Yarrowia lipolytica: one gene and its partner. The protein of the gene in region 2 interacts with the protein of the main gene of each other region in a biochemical or structural test. Links are inferred from orthologs where the notes say so. Each region holds a gene or a part of one and is shown on either strand. Other genes may lie near its edges. The genes, in order: YALI1_E37455g and YALI1_B01752g.

Evidence for each region.
Region 1: the proteins of YALI1_B01752g (region 2) and YALI1_E37455g form a complex in vitro, tested with the Saccharomyces cerevisiae proteins (3 studies listed by BioGRID). The link is inferred for Yarrowia lipolytica from reciprocal best matches to the Saccharomyces cerevisiae genes SUI2 and SUI3.

What each region holds. Positions count from the first base shown.
Region 1 is NC_090774.1:3,741,378-3,750,774, reverse strand, and holds YALI1_E37455g (uncharacterized protein), read right to left. Parts: upstream 5,279-9,397; coding exon 4,454-5,278; downstream 1-4,453. Other genes in the region: YALI1_E37494g (uncharacterized protein), read right to left, coding at 775-1,365; YALI1_E37484g (uncharacterized protein), read left to right, coding at 2,093-2,135, 2,187-2,269, 2,349-3,836; YALI1_E37441g (uncharacterized protein), read left to right, coding at 6,510-6,606, 6,665-6,999; YALI1_E37419g (uncharacterized protein), read left to right, coding at 8,836-9,397. UniProt on the Saccharomyces cerevisiae protein: Component of the eIF2 complex that functions in the early steps of protein synthesis by forming a ternary complex with GTP and initiator tRNA.
Region 2 is NC_090771.1:171,422-181,397, forward strand, and holds YALI1_B01752g (uncharacterized protein), read right to left. Parts: upstream 3,838-9,976; coding exon 2,896-3,837; downstream 1-2,895. Other genes in the region: YALI1_B01711g (uncharacterized protein), read left to right, coding at 1-306; YALI1_B01719g (uncharacterized protein), read right to left, coding at 392-572, 616-692; YALI1_B01725g (uncharacterized protein), read right to left, coding at 867-1,129, 1,173-1,191; YALI1_B01760g (uncharacterized protein), read right to left, coding at 4,373-4,602, 4,646-4,688; YALI1_B01771g (uncharacterized protein), read left to right, coding at 5,748-5,940, 5,991-6,082; YALI1_B01813g (uncharacterized protein), read right to left, coding at 6,850-9,960. UniProt on the Saccharomyces cerevisiae protein: eIF-2 functions in the early steps of protein synthesis by forming a ternary complex with GTP and initiator tRNA. This complex binds to a 40S ribosomal subunit, followed by mRNA binding to form a 43S pre-initiation complex.

The DNA of each region.
Region 1 (9,397 bases), on a different chromosome or scaffold from region 2:
GAGGCTCGTAACCCCTTCTACCCGCCATCAACCGGTTTAAATTGGCGTGCGTTGGGTTCGAGAAGCACTCTGAGGCGTGGCTAAATTAGCAGATTTAGGCGTCAACGTGGCGTGATTTTTTTCTGTTCTCCGATGGTGCCATTTTTGGTACTATGTTTTTCTTTGGTTTTATTTTTATTTTTATTTTTATTTTTATTTTTATTTTTTGGAATTGAATTTTCCGGCCATTATATTGAACGGAATTTAAATTTTCCTTTAATTAAATAATTATAAAATATTCCACACCGCCCAAATAAGCTCACAATATAAGCAGGGACATTATACATTATCCACAACAATGTAACGCTAATGTGGAAGCCCAAATTCGCCACATATTACCGAAAATAATTACTCCGGCTCGGAATCGAACAGCTATTTATTCTGATCCCACAGATACGTGTTTTTCACACCTCCACCAACGTATATTCTGATTTTGCTGCAGTCTTGTTTCTGACTCCAAAAAAAAACGTCACTCCAATATTAACCTTTTTGGCTCATGCACGGTCACTCGTGTTGCCAACACGTCACCATCTTGATCCAATAAGCACATACATATAGTCTCTTACATATCACATTGCTACAGTTCTAAACATGGTCGAATCGTCACAGACCCAGTACAAGGGCGCCGGTTATAATGATCTGGATCTCAACATGTTCTCCAAGCCCATCTACTCGCGCTCCAACACTTCCAACACCTCCCTAGGCGGCTCGTCGGCCTCTGTGTCTGCTAACACGTCAGTCACCAACCTCAGCAGCTCGGCTTCTTTGCCACCTCCTCCTCCCATCGGAGTCCCCCGGAGCCGAAAGGCCAGCGGAGAGACCAAGCGAGTGTCTGCTGAGCCGGAGGAGCACGCCATCGAGACCAACGTGTCCGAGGCTGATCTGGTGGCACAGATGGAAAAGGTGCTCAAGAAGGACAACGGGCTGCCCGAGCGCGAGTTTGACCACTACTGCGTCAAGCTGCGAAAGCTTCTGCCCGGTCTGGACCAGGAGTGTCGTGATATCGCGTCCCATGCTCTGGTCCTGGCAGATGAGGGCAAGGGCAGCACCGCCAAGGAGCTGCTGGTGCAGTTCATGCTGCGACAGAGCGGAAGCAGCAGCTGGGCCATGCCCCTGCGAAAGGTGGTGGAGAATACCAAGTAGCCGCGCACTGACGTGTGCTACAAGTATTTGCAACGTTCGGCTGGTTCGCAGCTGTGCGTATAGACGGTATGAAATGTTGATCTGTGTCCGGGATCGAAGACAGTCAGTACCCAAGAGGCTAACAAGTGGCGTAACTGCCATTATTAATAATGTAATATAGGATTGGTGTGGGTACTTGTACATTTAGTGGTGTAGACCAGGTGGCGGCGTGTTATCTGCCAGTACGATATGTTCCGAGTAAAATCAAGTAAAATGTGTCATGTATTTTAATTGACTAGTTAAGCTTGACTAAGTATCTATCTCCATAAGATACCCTTCACTAACCGATCCTTAACAATATTGTCTCACGATAGTCTGAATTACAATAGTACATACTGTAGAATGGCTATGGAAGGAATTTTACAGGAATTTTACACCCAGATCCAACCAGAAGAAAACTTGACTGAAACAACACTGAACCGGGGTGTCTGTCAGATGACACCTCCTCCACGTGTGTCATCATAAGGTCTCCAGAAACAGACAGATTCGTTTGTATTGTACACCAGTACATGTACCAGCCGATATTTCCGTGGAGATAAGAGAGGTGTTTGTGTACGTCTTTTATAGTCTGATTAGTCATTCGGAGAACTACCATCTATATTTGTTCTATCCTTGTACTGGAACAAGTTGGAGTCAAGTAAGTACAGTATCCTGTTTTATTTTTCATTGTGCAAGCTAACAATCTCGTTTAATTCAGCCATGTTGGGAATCGAACACGCGTCCGGGTCCTCCGTGCACCCCCCCACAAGCGCAAACCCTATTTCAGTTTAGTAATATGCGAGGTCATCAAACTGTCCTTCTGATACGTACGACTAGAAGACACCTTGTAGTGTCCACACACCACCCAGACACACAACCCATCATCACCAGCATGGCGTCATCAACCCCGCCCATGGGAGAGTACACTCTTCCAGGTGAGTACAAATCCACGTTCCGCATTTTTTTAACGCCCACCACTAACACAGGGGTCATGAAGTATCTACAACGCGAATGGCAGCGGAACGAAAAGGACAGAATACAATGGGAGCTGGAGAGGGCGGAAATGAAGGTGAGTTGCGGAGAGAAAGAGGGGCTTTTGGCCGACACGAGCGGTGGGATGGAACGAGAATCGTTGAGCTAACACAAAGGCACGCATAGCTCGCTTGGAGGGCGAAAACAAGTCGCTGAAGGCGCACAATTCCAGCCAGGAGAAGGAAATCAAAATGCTCATGGAGGCGCTGAAGAGCGAGGACGCCAAGGTGCCCAAATTGCCACCATTGGACACGTCTCCACTCGTCGAGGGCCAGCAGTATCTCTCCAAGTGTCTGGAGGAGGTTTCGTATCTGCTTCATCCTGATGTTGTCGATGTGGATGTGGATGCCAAGGACAGGGAGGCCGCTGCTAGAGAGGCCGTGCGAGACACCCGCGACATTCGAGAAGTGCCTCGTGTTCCTGTCCAAGAGCAGCCTCAACAACTGACACAACCCACGACACACTCGCAGCCACAAACACAACCCACGACACATTCGCAGTCACAACCACAGACTCAGCCCACAACACAAACGCAAGCACAGTCGGTTCAGGCACAAGCAGTGTCACAAGCACAAAACGGAGATGCTTCCGCTACTTCCAGTTGGAAACTGCAGCACGAGCTCACTGGCAACAACGCGTTGAACATGTCGTCATTCGAGTCGTCCACCGCCTTGTTGACCGCCTCGGAAGACGGTCTCATCAAGCGATGGAGTTTGGAGAAGGCCAAAAAACACGAGTCCAAGTCGCATAGCACGTACACCGGTCACGTGGGCACAGTCACCTCCGTGGTGGCGTCGGAGTCGTCGGGCATGTTCTACTCCGCCGGCGTGGACAAAAAGGTGCGCTTTTGGCAGTCGGACTTGGTCACGGAGCTGTTCCACATCAACGCGCACAAAGAGGGCATTGTGGCTCTGGACGTGAGCGAAGACAACTTTGTGCTGGTGTCTTCATCCACCGACGGCACCACCAAGATCTGGAGTATCAAGACCAACGACATGCTCCATTCCATTGAGGGTCCCAAGCGTGCCACTCAGGACGAAAACAGCGATCTGTCGGAAGACACGTTTGCCAACAAGCCTGTGTCGGCATCGTCGGTACTGCTGTACAAGGACGGCACGAAGCTGGTGGTTGGCTACGAGAACGCTCACATTTACCTCATTGACGTGGGCAGTGGACTCGTCACCCACAAGATTGAAGACGCATACAACAGCGAGGACAACGGCGTCACATGTCTGGCCATGGTAGGAGGAGCCCACGCGTCCACCCAGGAGCTCACGCTGCTGGCAGGTTTCCGAGACGGCGTTATCCGAGCATTTGATCTAGCTGGACGGCTGGTGTGGCAGGTGGATGCCCATAAGGGTGCTGTGTCGTCCATCAGTGTCGACCCAGCATCGGGAGAGATGTTCGCGTCTGTGGGAGCTTCATTGGGAGTCAAGATCTGGACCGTGGGAGCCACGGAGCCGGTAGAGCAGATTGCCTGCAATTCGCCGGCCACAGCATCCAGTGTCACATGGACAGCTGGAAAGGAAGGGTCGATATGGAAGGGCCATATTGCCACCTGTGCCAGTGACGGCGTTGCAAGGGTGTATAGTTGCTTGAGGTAGGCGTATCTGACCGCCTTAACAGCATGCATGCGCCGCGTATAATGTCGGGCGAATCCTTTGGGTACACTTCAGCTCATTGATCATTATGAGCTTGAATGGCATTATGTAATTACATGAGAATATGAATGGATGGTGGTAGAGCGGTAGCGTCATCGTCCTAGCATACATGATTAGTATGGTTGGCGGGGTCCCTGTGGCTCCAAGAACAGTATCATTGGACGCTTGGAAACTCCTGAATTGCAATATTGCACTTCTCTAGGAGATGATACGCTGTAACGGTCGTACTGTAACCAAACCTATAGTGAGTGTATGATACATCTCCAGGTACATGAAGGTCTACACTGAGAATTATTACAAGAGTCGGTTCTGGAAGTCACTGTCACTCAATGGCTCGAGTCAAAAGTCACGTCTCAGTAACGCTACACGCGTCTATCTACAATTCGAGCTGGGTTCTACTGTTGCATCCCGCAACCCGGACACATCCTGTAAACCCAGTTCTTTGGCACACAAATAAAAAGGTCATGGTCTTGTCAAATGGTCCTTGAATCCGGCTTCTGTTCTTTGCAATATCAATAATCCATTCATTCTCCTTTTTTCTATCTGTGTAGACGGGTCGTCTACATCTTCTTTCGTCGTCCGATCTGGGCAGAGTAACCGGTCTTGATGGACGAGACGGATCGTCGGGATCCACACGAGTTACAGTCCAGGAAGGTGAGTCGGTTCTCCTTGGTGAGTCGGGTGTTAACGGACTTGCAAGTGGCGCAAGACACGTAGTCCACAATGTACCGTCTGAGAACGGTCTCCATACCCTTTTGCTGGAATCGACCCTTGATGACAAGTCGATCGTTTCCGTCGGTGGATCCGGAGGTACCCAACTCGGCGAAAATGAACATGGCCACGTGCTCGGGAGATCTGTGCATCTTGGAGGCGATTTCCTGAATGTTGGCGAAAATCGACTTCTTTCCGTCTCGCAGCAGCTGAGGAGGAGGAATCTTGTACTTGGACGACCGGTCGCCGGCCAGCTCGGGGTTGTTCTCCCGCAGAATGTCGAAAAATCGGCTCAGGAGCTCGGGGTATGTGAACTCCTTCTCTCCGTCAAGAGTGTAGGTGACCTTCTCTCCAGAGGCAACGGGGTCCTCGTCGACACCAGCCTTCTCCAGCTCCTCGTCGAACTCGGACAGAGCGCTAGGGGCCTTCTTCTTCTTCTTCTTCTTCTTGAAATCAAACTCGTCCACATCGTCAGCGGCAGCAGAGGTCTTGAGATCGTCCAGCTTGTCGGCAACCTCGGAGACCTCGTCATCCTCCACAAATGCAGGCTTGCTCTTCTTCTTCTTCTTCTTGAGAGAGGGGTCGAAGTCCAGACTCTCCACCTTCTTATCTTCAATGTCCGACATGATGTGTGTGGTGTTTGTGATACTGCTGGTGGTAATTTGAGATATCATTTTTCACTGTACCACGGTAAAACTTTATGTTGAGGTAGGGTAACCTTTGGGGGAAATGGTATATGAGTATCTTGGAACTGTCATGGGGACTTTTTAGGAGGCGTAGTAGCGGATTTATACTCCAATGGCCATTTTATCTTATATCCAATTTTCAGATCTCTATTCAATCCACTCTAGGCACCACTATTAAACACCTAGGGGATGCCGCCCGATCTGCTCTTTTCGCTCACGTGAACATGGAACCTTAGATTCAGTCATGGCGGGTAAGTAGGGTTGATAAGTAATGTGAGTTGAGATAGTTGTAATTTGTTAATGAATATGAAATGCTTGTTATGGCTGACGTGTGTATTGTAGAAAGATACTCTTGATGTTGGGATATCCATGACAATATTTCTCATCAAGAGGTCTCATTTTATTTGGTCTAAGAAGAAACAATGGTCACTTGAGAGACTTTTGCTCCTATCGTGATGGAATCTTACGTGATGATATTATTGGGTGGTTTGCAGATTTTTTGATGATATTTTAACACGTTCGTAATTTCCGGGCAATTTCCTGTATTTTGATATTATCAGTTTCCTATTATACCGGTTGTTCCCTTCGATAGCTACAATAATTGCAGCGATGAATTTGTTACGAATTCGATCGCTCCAGTTGGCACCTGCCAAGTAAACCCGTTAAGATCCAAACTCTCATCTCTGACCCCTCCCGCCTCTCCCTAATCAGACACCTCACACCCCAATCGAGTTGATCTCCATAACTCCTACCTCATTTACCATCCACATTAGTACAGCTATCCAAGACACTTGCCCTCAATATCCGAAATGAAGTCTCTTGTTACGAGCGCGTATGCTAGATTGCCTTTCATATACACAGCAAATGGGCGTGAAAAGTGTCCGTTTCTAGCCCCGGCTGAGGGACTTTGCACGTGTTTGTATCTGTGAGGGACGACTGGTGACTCCTCTTTGGCAACAAACTGGGGGCCCTCTCTCGGGCTTATGTGAACACTGACCATATTTGAACACCTATAGGCCCACCCTGTAGAATCCAAACGCTCGTATGTACGATTCAGTACAAGTAGACTCTCACCTGAGATATACGGGGTAGCATAAGTAAACACCGCGGGCTTGTTGAGTCAATGACAGATAACAATGAGATATTAACGGAGATCTCATAAAAGGCCTGTTATTGCTGTTGGGCGTTGATTTGGACAGGTGCGGTGATTAAACTGTTTATGGCGTGTCCAAGGATGAAAGTGAAAAGTGCAGCACTCGTATTGTACCACAAGCAGTGGGGTCCAGAGAGGTTTCACAGAGACGAACAGTTGTTGGGTGGAGTGATCCGCCTATAATGCCTCGATATGTCGTCTTTCCTGGTCTGTTGGATGAGATATTAATGCCTGCCACTGTCACTCGGCTCTCCTACATGCTCACTCGGCTTTTTACTCTGCTCTCAACATTCAGCTAACCCCCATCAGATTTGGCACTACTGTACTCGTTCCGGAACGTGAGCCTCGTGTGTGGAAACACAAAACCAGGGCTGGCACGGCATGGGAGCGATCTGAGCAACGATTTTCAGACTTTTTTTTCTGTGGCTACCGGTGGACTTGGTTTTTTCGGTTCGGTTTTTTTTGTTTTTTGTTTTTTGTTTTTTGTTTTTTAATTTTGTGTATATTTCACTTTGGCCAAACTGAAACAAATTATCGCATTGTCATGAGACACTAAAAGCAACAGAAGCAGCGAATATACTGGTTTGGGAAACAAAGGTCCAAGACATGACGGCATTTCGGGCCTTTTGAATCGCGAGCAATATACCACTAAATGGTATCGAGGCCGACTGTCGCTACGACAACAGTCTGAGCCGCTCTCGAACGGCGATGCATGCCTCTCACAATCAGACTGACTCTTGCTCCACGTGAAATTTCATTTGGAGAAACCAAAAACAGCCCATATGAAATCTAATGCCGTTCGAGCCTGCGTGGATATCGTGTCTATGGTACTCTAAGTAACTATACCTCGTGCCGCGAACAATAGAAGATAGATACAGAGTTGCGCGGGCCCTTTAACATCACAGTTAGACACAAGTATCCGCCTATTGTTGGAATGGATGGAACGTCCGTTTGAGTTGGAGGTAATTAAACAAAAAACAGAACCGTGTCGGCTGAAATAAGGGCCTTTAGGTCGTATCCGGCACCCCTAGCTGTTTTACCTACAGTACCAAAACAAGCAGAGCGGACATTTACGGTGCAAGTACCGCTAAGTACAAACTGATTGTTTCAGCCAGGTACCGCTTCTTTACATCTGTAGATTGCGTTGATAAGGGTCAATACATGATTAAAGAGACAGGAGCGCCGATAACAACATTGTAGGGTATTTCACAAGATGCGCCAGACTCGGGTGTAGCGACTTGTACCTACAACTGTCGCGTTTTCTGATCGTTGAGGCGCCACTCTACCTCCACCTCTCTGTCTATGCGGACCGCGTTTCAAATGGCTGAGAAGAGCACGCTAACGCACTCGAAATGAGAGATCCACTCTACAGTACTTGTACCATTGAGCAGGTCTACTTGGACTTGTATCTCGATGACAGCTATTGTCTGAAGTTGGCGCTAACAATGCATGGGATCGTGCTAACGCAATCTCATATAAACGCTTGTTAGACAAGACATACGGATGTCATATTGCATGTCCAAATGGAGATCACGGAAACAAAGAGCCAAGGTGGGCACCAACAGGAGGAAGTCGAGTACTTGTAGACATGATTGGATCTCACCAATTGCTCAACCTCGAGAAGTTATCCAGTCTCCGACGAATACTTGTACGAATACTTGTATTTATGATGGCCCGATGACATGAACCTGAAAACTTTTCTAAAATTGTCTAAAATTGTCTAAAACTTGTCTAAAACTTGACTAAAACTTGACAGAGAGACGATTTTGACACTGGAAAAGCTCATCGTGATCCTCTCGATCCAGGGTTTACAACCATCTACCCAGATCCCCGCAATACTGGAAAACCACACCTCCAGCCTCTAGCATCCCCCACCCCTTCACTCAACGCATGGATTATGCAGGTACGTCACGTGACCATAACTGGCCCAGCAGGCTCCCCCCTGGTCCCGATTCACGTGATTTCGCCGTTGGACGTCACATGACCCTATCACACCGATCACTAATCACCCTGTATACCGCCACCTGCATATTTGGTCACGTGACGTTCAATTTGCTCACGGATGCAGGATTGCTTGTTATTTAGGTTTGTCGAGACGAGAGGTGGTTTGGGAGGTAGGGGGAGGCTGATGGGGCTCCTAAATGAGGCGCCCGACTAGGAAAAGGTCCCCTAGTTTAGCTGTCACGTGAGTTCGTCGTCCCTGCTCATCTCCCGTATCCCCCCAACCTTATCTATGCCCAGTGTCTACTTGACTAGAGAATCTCCGCCTTTGTCATGCATTTCCGAGTGAGGCAACCTTATTTACAATAAACTTTTCCGACTCCAATATCTCTTCCTCTCCAAACTAATGATAGTACACGAACTATCACGTCTTTAGACACACTCAACCAACATGATTCTCGTCCAGGGCGAAAAGTACGCGTGTCTCAACTGCATCCGCGGTCATCGGAGTTCCACCTGTGACCATACTAACCGACCTCTGGTGCAAGTTCGAAGAAGAGGACGGCCAAACCATGCCTGTCAACACCGTCTCGCAGTTATCGCCGAGCCCACCTGCTCGTGTGGAATGACTGCTGTGCTTGTTCCCGAGCACTCGGTGGCTGGAATCAAGGAGGAGGACAAAAAGCCTGGCAGTTCGGCGCTCAAGAAGACCACCAAGAGTGTGGGAATCATTCGAATCGGAGCGCACTCCAAAAAGATTATCGACACTTCAAACGGAAAGGTGACTGTGTTGGACACGCCAGTGAACCAGTTTCTCAAGGAGAATCCCAGCGGAAACTGCACATGTGCTGCCTCAGGCCTGGAGCCCGAAGAGTACTTTGACAGACTGAAGCAGAAGTCGTCCTGTTGCAGTAAGGAGGAGAAGCCGGCTTCTAACGGATGCTGCAGTGGGAATAAGGTCAAGAAGGAAGAGGAGAGTCTTCCGAGTCGTATGCATGGAAATGGAGGGCATG
Region 2 (9,976 bases):
ATGACCAACATTCTCAAGGTGCAGCTGACTCAGCCGTGGTTTGGCCCCAACTCGGTGGACATTTCGTTTGTGGCGATTCCCAAGGCCGAGAGAGGCCTGCATCTGGTTCCCGGGCTGAGACGGGACGGAACCACGTGGCGAGCCGATCTGTACTTTCGCGAGGGTGGTGCCATTGAGTTCCAAAAGGTTCTGGCGGAGAAACACACAGCGTTCAGGGAGAGAGTCCAGAGACAGGTTTCGGTGGCGCGAGACGGCATCGAGCCGGATTTGCCACAGTACGAGGCTCCTCCTGGTTATGAGGAATAGATGGTGGGATGTGGACGAAACACAACAACCGCTTGGGTCTTATCCGACTGTTGACAGATAGACACTCGACTCAGGATACTGGTGGTTACCCATTTCTCCATTTCCCAACGTTTTCCTTCACGTTTGTTCCACGCTCAAGGCCTCTTCTCCTCGTTTTTCTAACGGTTTTTTTCCCCCGCTCAAGGTCTCTGTCAAGGTCTCTTGTCAAGGTCTCTGTCAAGGTCTCTGTCAAGGTCTCTGTCAAGGTCTCTGTCAAGGTCTCTTCTCTACCGCCCACCACCCTACCCAATCATTCGGCCACTCATATACACAACATCAAACGAGTCCCCTGAAGCGGAGAGCCCCACAAGTATAAGAAAGAGTTGGTGCAGAGACGCTTCACACATTCCGCAGTTTTGAAACTCTGAGACGATCGTGCCCTAAACAGAACCTGGGACCCGCGTCACCCAGTCTCACGAGACCCCGACAGCCTCTTTATACGTGTACGGTATATCGAGATAACTTATTGCATCATTTTGCCATGAGATGAGACAAGCATAAAAATGATATTTTGATGATGGTTACGTGGTAATACCCAGCCAGGCATTGAAAGTATATCTGCTACAGACTAATGAGTGGTGCCATTCGACAGCTGGAGCCCGACCGATCTCCACAATGTATTTCCTTAACCCAGGGCTACTAAATTGAAAATATGGAAGTACACCAAGATCGAGGAGGTCTGCTCTATGAATGTTGAAAGTGGGTCTTACGGTTAGATGCTTATAAAGCTGTCTTATTGTAGTATCATAGTCCCGTGACAGGGCTAAGGGGTCCGTAAGGCGCACTTTGGCGCATAGACTTTACGGTATATCATCCGGAACAGCCACATTTTTTCATTTTCAGCATTTCGAGAGCTGATTGAAGCGGAATTGGAAATGTAGACTCCGGAATGAGGCAATTTCGAAGTCCCCGTGTCTCTAGCTTGTCTGTATCGATTTCTAAAGTCGTTACACATCATGGGTTAGCTCGACAGTATGTAGGTGTCTTCACAATTGCCAAATGCGCATCTTGTAGTAGAAGATATGTATTCCTGGAGTATTTCCATGGTGCTATACCACCAAACATCCGCCCTTTGTTGTCATGGTTATTCCATTGCTATTATCCCTCGTTGTTAACGCCAGTATATATGTCGGAGTCATCAAATCAGGACCAGGATGTACTAAAAATGCTACAGATTCCATTATAAACACTCAAATGTATAGTTTCAAGTTTCTGGGGGCATCCAATGAGTGGTTGAAACACGTCAGTCAACTCCCCAAACGTCCTATGTGCTTCCTACACTAAGTATCAATGATATTCATACGACCTTCAGTAGGGTGACCGGATGCACAGCGAGACGATGAAACTTCAGATTGAAAAGTAACATGAAGTTGGAAAGTCGTCAGTAGTTGAGAAATGTCATGTTAAATCCATTACCAAAGTCTTTGATAACCAGATTTATTCTCTAGTCGAGTTATCGTCATATTATTAGATGGTCTCTTGTAAGACCTGTTCCCAAGGCAAGAAGAGCAATCGAAAAGAAACTGGAACGGATAAAACTCTCAAGATAAATAAAGTAGAGAAAGATCACTTGGAACCCGCAGTCCTTTGGATTCTGTTGTTTATCTCATACAAAAACACTCCATGTTCACATCTTTTTACTCAACAAAATATTAGCCTAATTCCAACAAAAAGCTAACTACTGGCTCAACTAAAACCCAACACAACATCCCCCAAGATTGACACAACCAGACTTATCATAGTGCCAATAACATCCACAAGTGAATTTCTGCTAAGAATGTAGATCTTTTAAACCCCCCGATATACTCATAATCCCTTTTAGTTCCTCGGAACATCAAAATACAACCCCCAGAACAAAACCCCCTTAACAATTTCCCAACTAACAATAACTAAAGAAATAACGGAAACAAAAGTACCATTCAAACAATCCTGTAGTAACCGCAGCGACTCAAAAACTTCCCACACAGCTATTACACACCTGATAAACCTCCTTATCAACTCCCCAACCATCTACCTATCTCCACAAAACTTCTACAATACAATTTGGTAGTACCGTTCATGCCACTGGCGCTACACTATCTACACCATCTATAATGGAATCTGAACCTACTCCAGAAAAACACACGCCTGATTTCTAGCAATTATGGACTCCAGTAATCGCGCCAGAATAATGCTCGTACTCTTTCACCCACTATTACTAATCTCACGGACTATTACTAATCATCTACACCCTCCAAAAAAAATCACATTCGAAATCAAACGCTCTTCAGGTAACCTCGGATTGGTATCTCCTCAGAGATATTACAAAGATTCTACACGCTGACTAATCAACCTTAGCTACAACTATCAACGCCAATAACAAGTATCCCTACTGACTACAGTTACAATCCACGGGCTACACGGAGCCCTGGATGTCTCGCACTCACAAGCGCACCCACTCACGCGCTGCGCTCATGCCTGTTGGAATATCGGTATATCACCTTGACTATGCTCTTCCTTTTATCCTCCACTGCAGTCCTCTGCTTCCTGTCCTGTACATTGCTGACGCAATCACTCAAAATCGCCAGCCTCCTCGTCAGCATCATCATCATCTCCATCCACCAGCTTGTTCTGCTGCTCAGTCTTCTCCATAAGCTTGGCGAGCTCGGCATCGTCGGTCTCAGTGACGGCCTTGGGCTCCATCTTGACCGTCAGAGAGCCGCCGGACGCCTCAATGCTCTCTCGAATCTTCTCAATCGCCTCGCCGAGAGTGTCGATGGCCTTCTGCTTGTCCAGACAGGTGGAGGTGAGCACAAACAGAGGAGCGGCCACCAGCTTGACCTTGACGGGCACCAGCTCCGAGTTGAGCGTCTCACCGGCCGCCAGCGCCTTCTTGATCGCCTCAATGCCCTCGTAGGCAAAACAGGTGATGTCAATGTCAGCTCGCACCTTGACGGGGTTGGGGGTCAGTCGCCGGCCAATCTGGGCCTTGAGATCCTCCATGATGGCGGGAGAAGCAGGGTCCTCCAGATCGCCAAACACCTGGTCGGGGTTGGTGATGGACAGCTTGAAGCCGTCGTAGGCATGGCCATACTTGGTGCTCAGCGGCCAGCCCACCTGTTCGTACAGCTTTTCTAGCGAGTACTTGTGTTTCTCCGCCACGTGCCGCAGAATCGAGTGCACAGTCTTGGACTTGGTGTACTTTTCCTCACACTTTTCCACGTCCTCGGCGCTCACTCGCCGTTTCGACAGATCGATGTAGCCCTTGTCCTTGTCCACTCGCAGAACAACCACAATCTCGTTCTTGCCCACCTTGATGTGCTTCTGGATGGACCGGATACGTCGTCGCGACAGCTCCGACAGCAGAATCATGCCCTCAATGTCGTCGTACTCAAGCAGCTTGACGTACGCGCCCATGTCGGCAATCTCCTTGACGTTGACCATCACCAGGTCGTCGACCTCGGGGTACTTGTTGGCGTAGAATCGGCAGGTGGTCGTGTTGACTTCGTCCATTTTTTTGCTGCTTGTGTCGGTGGGTGGTGAGATTGGATTCGGACATGACTGATTGCATGAGGATTTTTCAGCTACAGTTTTAGGTTGGTCACGTGGCGGGAACCGAGGTTGTTGGTTCGATTCCCACTGGGCACGGATGGATGTAGTTTATGGGAGCTGAGGAAGCGGAAATAATGGCTCACAATATGGCACAGACCGTTTTGCATGGGCCAGATACGCCATCTGAAATAATCTTCAGATTCGGGAAGACTCTGATTCAGGAAGACTCTTAATCTATGATCAGCCTTCCCCCTCCCCAGAAAGCTTAAATTATGTGGAACTAGCACAACCACAGATGCATGCACTTGTGCAGTGTGCACACGTGCCACACCAGCCAGTTTGTGTCAGACATGAACACCAAACAGGAAAGTCAGCATCTTCAGAAGGATACTCTCCAGAAGGATACTCTCCAGAAGGATACCCTCCAGAAGGATACCCTCCAGGAGGAGAACCCATGAAAGATACCCTAGTCTCACGTGAGTCCACGTGACTCTCCTCAATTCAATGACCCCCGTCTCCCCATCCTATCCTCCACACGTCCGCCGAATTGGAGACAGAACATGATTGCGTCCGCCGCTTTGATTGTGTGGTGGAAAGAGATGGAAAAACAGGTGTGGAGAAGGAAGAGTTGGTTTCGGAGGCGGACATGGGCTTTATATATCAAGGTGGAGCGGGACTTTGTGTAATAAGGTGTGGTTGGTGGAGATGTTGGCGAGGCGGTGGGCGCTGGTCACGTGACCGAGATGGCGGGGGTGTTGGCGTTGGTCACGTGACGCAATAGAAATCTGTCTCAGGTTTGATTTAGATTTCATCAGATGTGTTTTCTTGACGGGGTGTTGAATTTGGGGTTGATTTGGTGGGGGAATCCACTTGGCTCGTTATTGTTCGTCATTCAGATCGATCATGGGCCAGCTGGAATCGGTTTGTTGAGAATGATCAGAGGGTTCTTTTCTTCTTTTCTTCTTTTCTTCTTCTTTTCTTCTTTCTTTCGTTTACAGCGATGAACAGCCGTCGCAAAGGTAAGGGAAAGGGGCTACAAGAATCTGAAGACAGCTGCGCCATGAACGTTTGTCATTTCTTTTCGATGGAAAATATTGAGACGGTTCTAGAATCTCTGAAGGGTTTGATTCGTTGTGTTGTCTTCTGTGACTTTGGTACAATGGCAATGCCGCAAAAGTTCCAAAAGACCACTCCTGATTACCCGAGAAACTTCTGGAGAAGCGCGCTCTTTCTCATCCCAGACATGGCACTCCTTATTAGTCATAGGGGGGCAGTTGTTGACAAATCACAAGTGCTAAAAGTGCCCAATTAACCCCATTCACTTCCCCAAGTCTTCTCAGTGGAGTTTTCTAATTCCGAGACGGAAAACACTGTCATTGAGATGGTTCCAGGTGGCTCTGAGTCAGTTCCATTTCTCTCTGAATCATTTCCCGAATCAGTTCTCTCTGGAGCAGGGGTTGTCTTCTGATCCGACGGTTCCACCATCATGTGTGGACCGCTAACCAGTTCCTTCCGACTCGGTGAGCGTTCCTCAAAATAGAACCATTTGAAAGCTGGAGACGAGCCGATTACGACTCAGCAGCACCATTTCCGCACAGCAATGACCAGTCAAAAGTTGGGTACAATGCTCATCCCAATTGCTCCCCAAAACCAATGCTCCTTGAAGCCGTGACGATTCCCAACACTATGATGAATGAAAGGACCGAAAGTTGCAAAAATGAAATTCTGATGAGAAAGTTGTTGTTGTTTTTCCATCGACTGCCGCCAACCGAACTGTCAGACAGAGACAGGACCGAACCAAGCGCCATTTGACGTCTTCCACAGCTCATGCAGCAAACATCCCGCCACGACTGGACAGTCTAGATATCGACATGGCATGTTCGGTGTCTGTTCGGTACCCGGAGGGCCAGCTTCGAAGGTGGCACTCCAGATCTCGAGGTAGCACTACATGCCCTTCTCCATCTCCTGTTCTACCTCTTTTGTTGCGATTTTGTCGTTCCTACTTTCGCCACATACATCTCATGCCTTCACTTGATGATACCTCAGGAACGAGTAATGCCACCGGTTGAAAAGGTAGGTATAACTGTTCCTCTGGTATAGGGCGTTGAAATGAGTCTACTCTTGTACCTACAGGCCAACTACACAACTACCTACTCAAGTTATCCCTTCACTATTGTGCTCTACTATCACCTGGACTAGATCCTGAATACAATACTGTGCCTAGAGAGATGGGAAGTTGATCAAAATGAAACTTGACGTCTGAAGGTCATTTCAGGTCACCGTCTCCGTTTCATTTGGCGCATTATCCATCGTTCTGGAGCGCGGTTCATGCTATAGGGGGAATGCCAACCTTTCAACTATACTTCTAACAAATAATAGTTGATGATGAAAAAAAGATATCCGCACAGAACGAAGTATTGTATAGCAAAAATGTTCAAAATACAGAAAAAACCATGAAACCAATATCGTAGAATCCATCTAGACAAACGCCATATCTCCACCGCCTCTGGATCCCTAGATAAAGACCCCAAGTCAAGTTTTGATGTCAACAAAGTCTAACTAATATTTGTTAAATTAAAGAGAGCTGGACATCTACAACAAATCGAGTCCAGGACCGCGAGTCACGTGTTAAGTCACATGTTAAGTCACATGTTAAGTCACGTGTTAAGTATCTTATAACGTGAAACCGCTTCTCTCGATACGTGAGTGATCTGGATCTGGATCAGAGTGTGTGTGCAATCTCTGCCAGTCACGTGACTAAAATCCTTCACGTGACTTGAACACCCAAGAATTACCACCCAAAGACACAAAACGAAAGTAACATGTCATTATTCTATGTAAAATATCTATTGTCTCCAGTCAGTCAGTAGCTGACAGTGGTTAGAGCAGAGCTGACAGTAGTGAGCTGAAAAGAGTGAAGAGTTGAGTACTCTTACTGCTCCGCATCTGAGCGATGCATCTTCGCCGTTCGCTCTAGCGGTCCAGAATCTCCAACAATTGGTTCTTGAAAACAGGCAGCATTTTGGGAATCTCGGTAATATCCGGTCGCTGGGGCGGCAAGTCGCTGGACTGCTGCTTCTGTTCAATCTTCCGGGCCAACTGTCGTCGTCGTCTCTCCTCTTCCACCGCATCCAGCTGTCCCTCGCTCTTGCCCATGATAGCGCGGTCCTCTAGATCCAGCTCCGCCACGTCCAATTCCAGCTCGTTAATGTCTTCAATATCGATTCCGAAATCGCCCGTGTTGATGCCGTTGGCTCCTCCTGGCAAGGTCGAGTCCCATCGCGTGTCAATGTCGTCCTCCGCGTCAGCACCCATGGCTGCAAGGGTCGAGTTGACCGAAGACGACCTCGACAACCGCTTAACTCCGCCGTCACGCATCTGCTGGGCTGCCGCGGCGCGCAGATCGTACCAGTCCTTTCGTCGTCGTGTCCAGTCGACAATCTGGTCCACCTCAAACACCACCCTCTCCTTGTCACCGGGGTAGTTGGCCAGCATCATTTCGAGATCAAGAGGAGCTCCATGCTGCTGGCCGTCCTTCAGAAAGAGAATAATGTCCGAAATCCAGCCCATGAGCTGGTCAAACAGACCGCCGTCGTGCTGGTACACATTGTGGATGAACTTGAACAGAGAGTCAACGTGTCGGTTGCACAGGTCCACAAACAGTTGGACCTGCGAATTGGCGTCCGAAGTGAGCGAATCAATCTCACTCTTGCTGACCGTCTTGATCAGGTCGTCGGCAAACCGCTGAAGATCTCCCACTGCCTCAGAAATATGGGCATCCTTGAAGACCCGAATCAGGGGCTCGTAGAAGATGGTGATCAGATCCTTGACTAGCTGAACGGTCGCCTTCTCATTGATCAGATCCTGGAACAGGTCCTTGTCTCGCTTTCTGGTCAAATGCTTCAGCAAGTTCTTGGTGGCAGAAAACTTGAGCACCTCGTCGGACTGAACTTCATGGGGATCGTTACTCGGCTCCTCCTCCACCGCATTGTCCCACCGTTCGTACCACAGCTGCACAGTGCGCTCCTGTTCCCAGGAATGGTTCTCTTCTGCCTGCAGCTTGAAAATGGCCAGCACCATGTCGCAGTCATGAGCATGCTTGGTCTTGAGCACCCGCTGATGAGTGGCCTCGTCAGCGTAGACAAAATCCTCCAGTCCCTGACACACAGAATCATCGGCAATGAGCAGCTTGAGCTCCTTGATGGCCCGCTCCTGCTGCTTGATGTCTTCTTGTAACATGTACCAGATGATATTCTGGAAGAGCGACTTGCGGCCAAACGGCTGGGCCAGGAACAGATCCATCATTCCCTTCATGATCGAGACGGGGTTGGACAGCCGCAAAATGCCCTTGATCACCGTGTACGGAATGAACCGGTGAAGACGACACACCTGCGCAAACACCTCGGGAGCATTGTCCGACGCCACAAACATGTGGAACAGCGTGGCGGCAAACTCAATCGTCGCCCACTTGATGAACTTTTGGAACCGGGGACTCAGGTCACGTGCGCTGCTCTTGTCCCGGATCTCGTCGAAAATGTGTTTCAGACCATCTTCCCGCACAAGATCTTGCTTGAACTCCTGGAGGTAAACGTTGAGCTCCTGCGCTCGGGCTTGGGCAACCTCGTAGAACTGCAGCTGGTCACGCACACGGGCAATGTCGACTTTTCGACGCAGCTCCATATCGCGAATCTCGTTGGGTGTCATTTGAATGGGGTCCATGTAGAGAAACTCGAGGAGCGTCTTGGAGTTGGCTACCATTCGGTTTGACACCAGAGTATGAAGGTAGGCACGGAGGGTGGTTCGTTGTTTCTCACGCGGAAGACTTACTCTCTTTCCATCGTGATGGACGTTGGCGGTATCGTCATCATCAATATGCTCCTCTGCGTCGTTGAGCTCGTCTTCGGGGTCGTCGTTTTCGGTGTCGACAAAGCCGCCGATACCTGAGGACGTGGCCTGGGAGGCAGCACGGTTACGCACGGGCAAATTGGGCAGCCCACGTCCGGGAAACTCCCGGTGTAGCTTCTTGGCCAGCTCCTTGAAGTCGTGGAAGGTGCGTGCGACCACAACGGTTCGGCCCTCATGAGACTCCATTTTCGTCTCAATGAGGTACTCGGCGCTCACGTGGTCGCCGGCTAGAAACGAGAGCATTCGTTTGGTTCGGATTTCGCGCACTCCCACGACATTGACGCACAGGCCGTTAATGAATTTTCCACTGGCCAAGGACGATAGGACTTTTTTGTGGTCCAGCTGCTCGACGCCGGCGGTGGCCGGTTTCTCCACCTTGGCCGCGGGCTCGTCGACGTTGGTGGTCATGAGGCCGGCAGACATGTACATTGCAAAGGCTTTTTTGATCCGCAGGGAGATTTTCGATCGCTTTGTGTCTTCGGCTCTGTCTTCCGATGAGGAGATGTTCTTGTCTGCGAACGACTCTAGAAACGCCTGGAGCCGCAGTTGCCAAAAGTCGCGGTCGTCGGCTTTGCTGAGAAACGGAAACGTCTTGATGTGGTGGACAAACATGTGGCGGACAATGGGGAATTGGTAGACCACGGGGCCGTTGGGGCCGTTGGGGCCATTGGGGCCGTTGGTGGTGGCGAGGGTTCGGTTGGGGGTTGCGTTTCCGGTGCTGGGGGTTGTGTAGCCGGTATCGTGGGGCATTGCGCTGAGGCTCAGGTCGCCGTAGTTTTCGTCGTGGGAGTCGTAGAAGTGGTCTTCGTGGTCGTGGTCACCACCGTGGCCGTGGCCCTTGAGATGCGGAATGTGAATGTGTTTCTTGATGTGGCTGCCCTTCTTCTTGATGTGTTTGATGGACCCCATGACGCTGTGGTGGGATCCTCCGGAGCTCTGCGGCTCCAGCACCGGCGACCCGATCGTCGGCGTGTAGTGGTCGCCGTCGTGGAAGCCCTCGGTCCCTTCGATGATCGGCTCCGGCGTGTGACTGGGGCCATTGGGCGCAAACGGCGCTCCGAACTTGCGCAGACCCCGAAAGTCGGCCAGCTCGGCAAACTCGTCTTCGATTTCGAGCCGCACCAGCTCGCGCTTCAGATAGTGCTCCTGGATGGGCTGCAGTTGGACCCGGTTGGACATTGTGATTGGTCCGAGT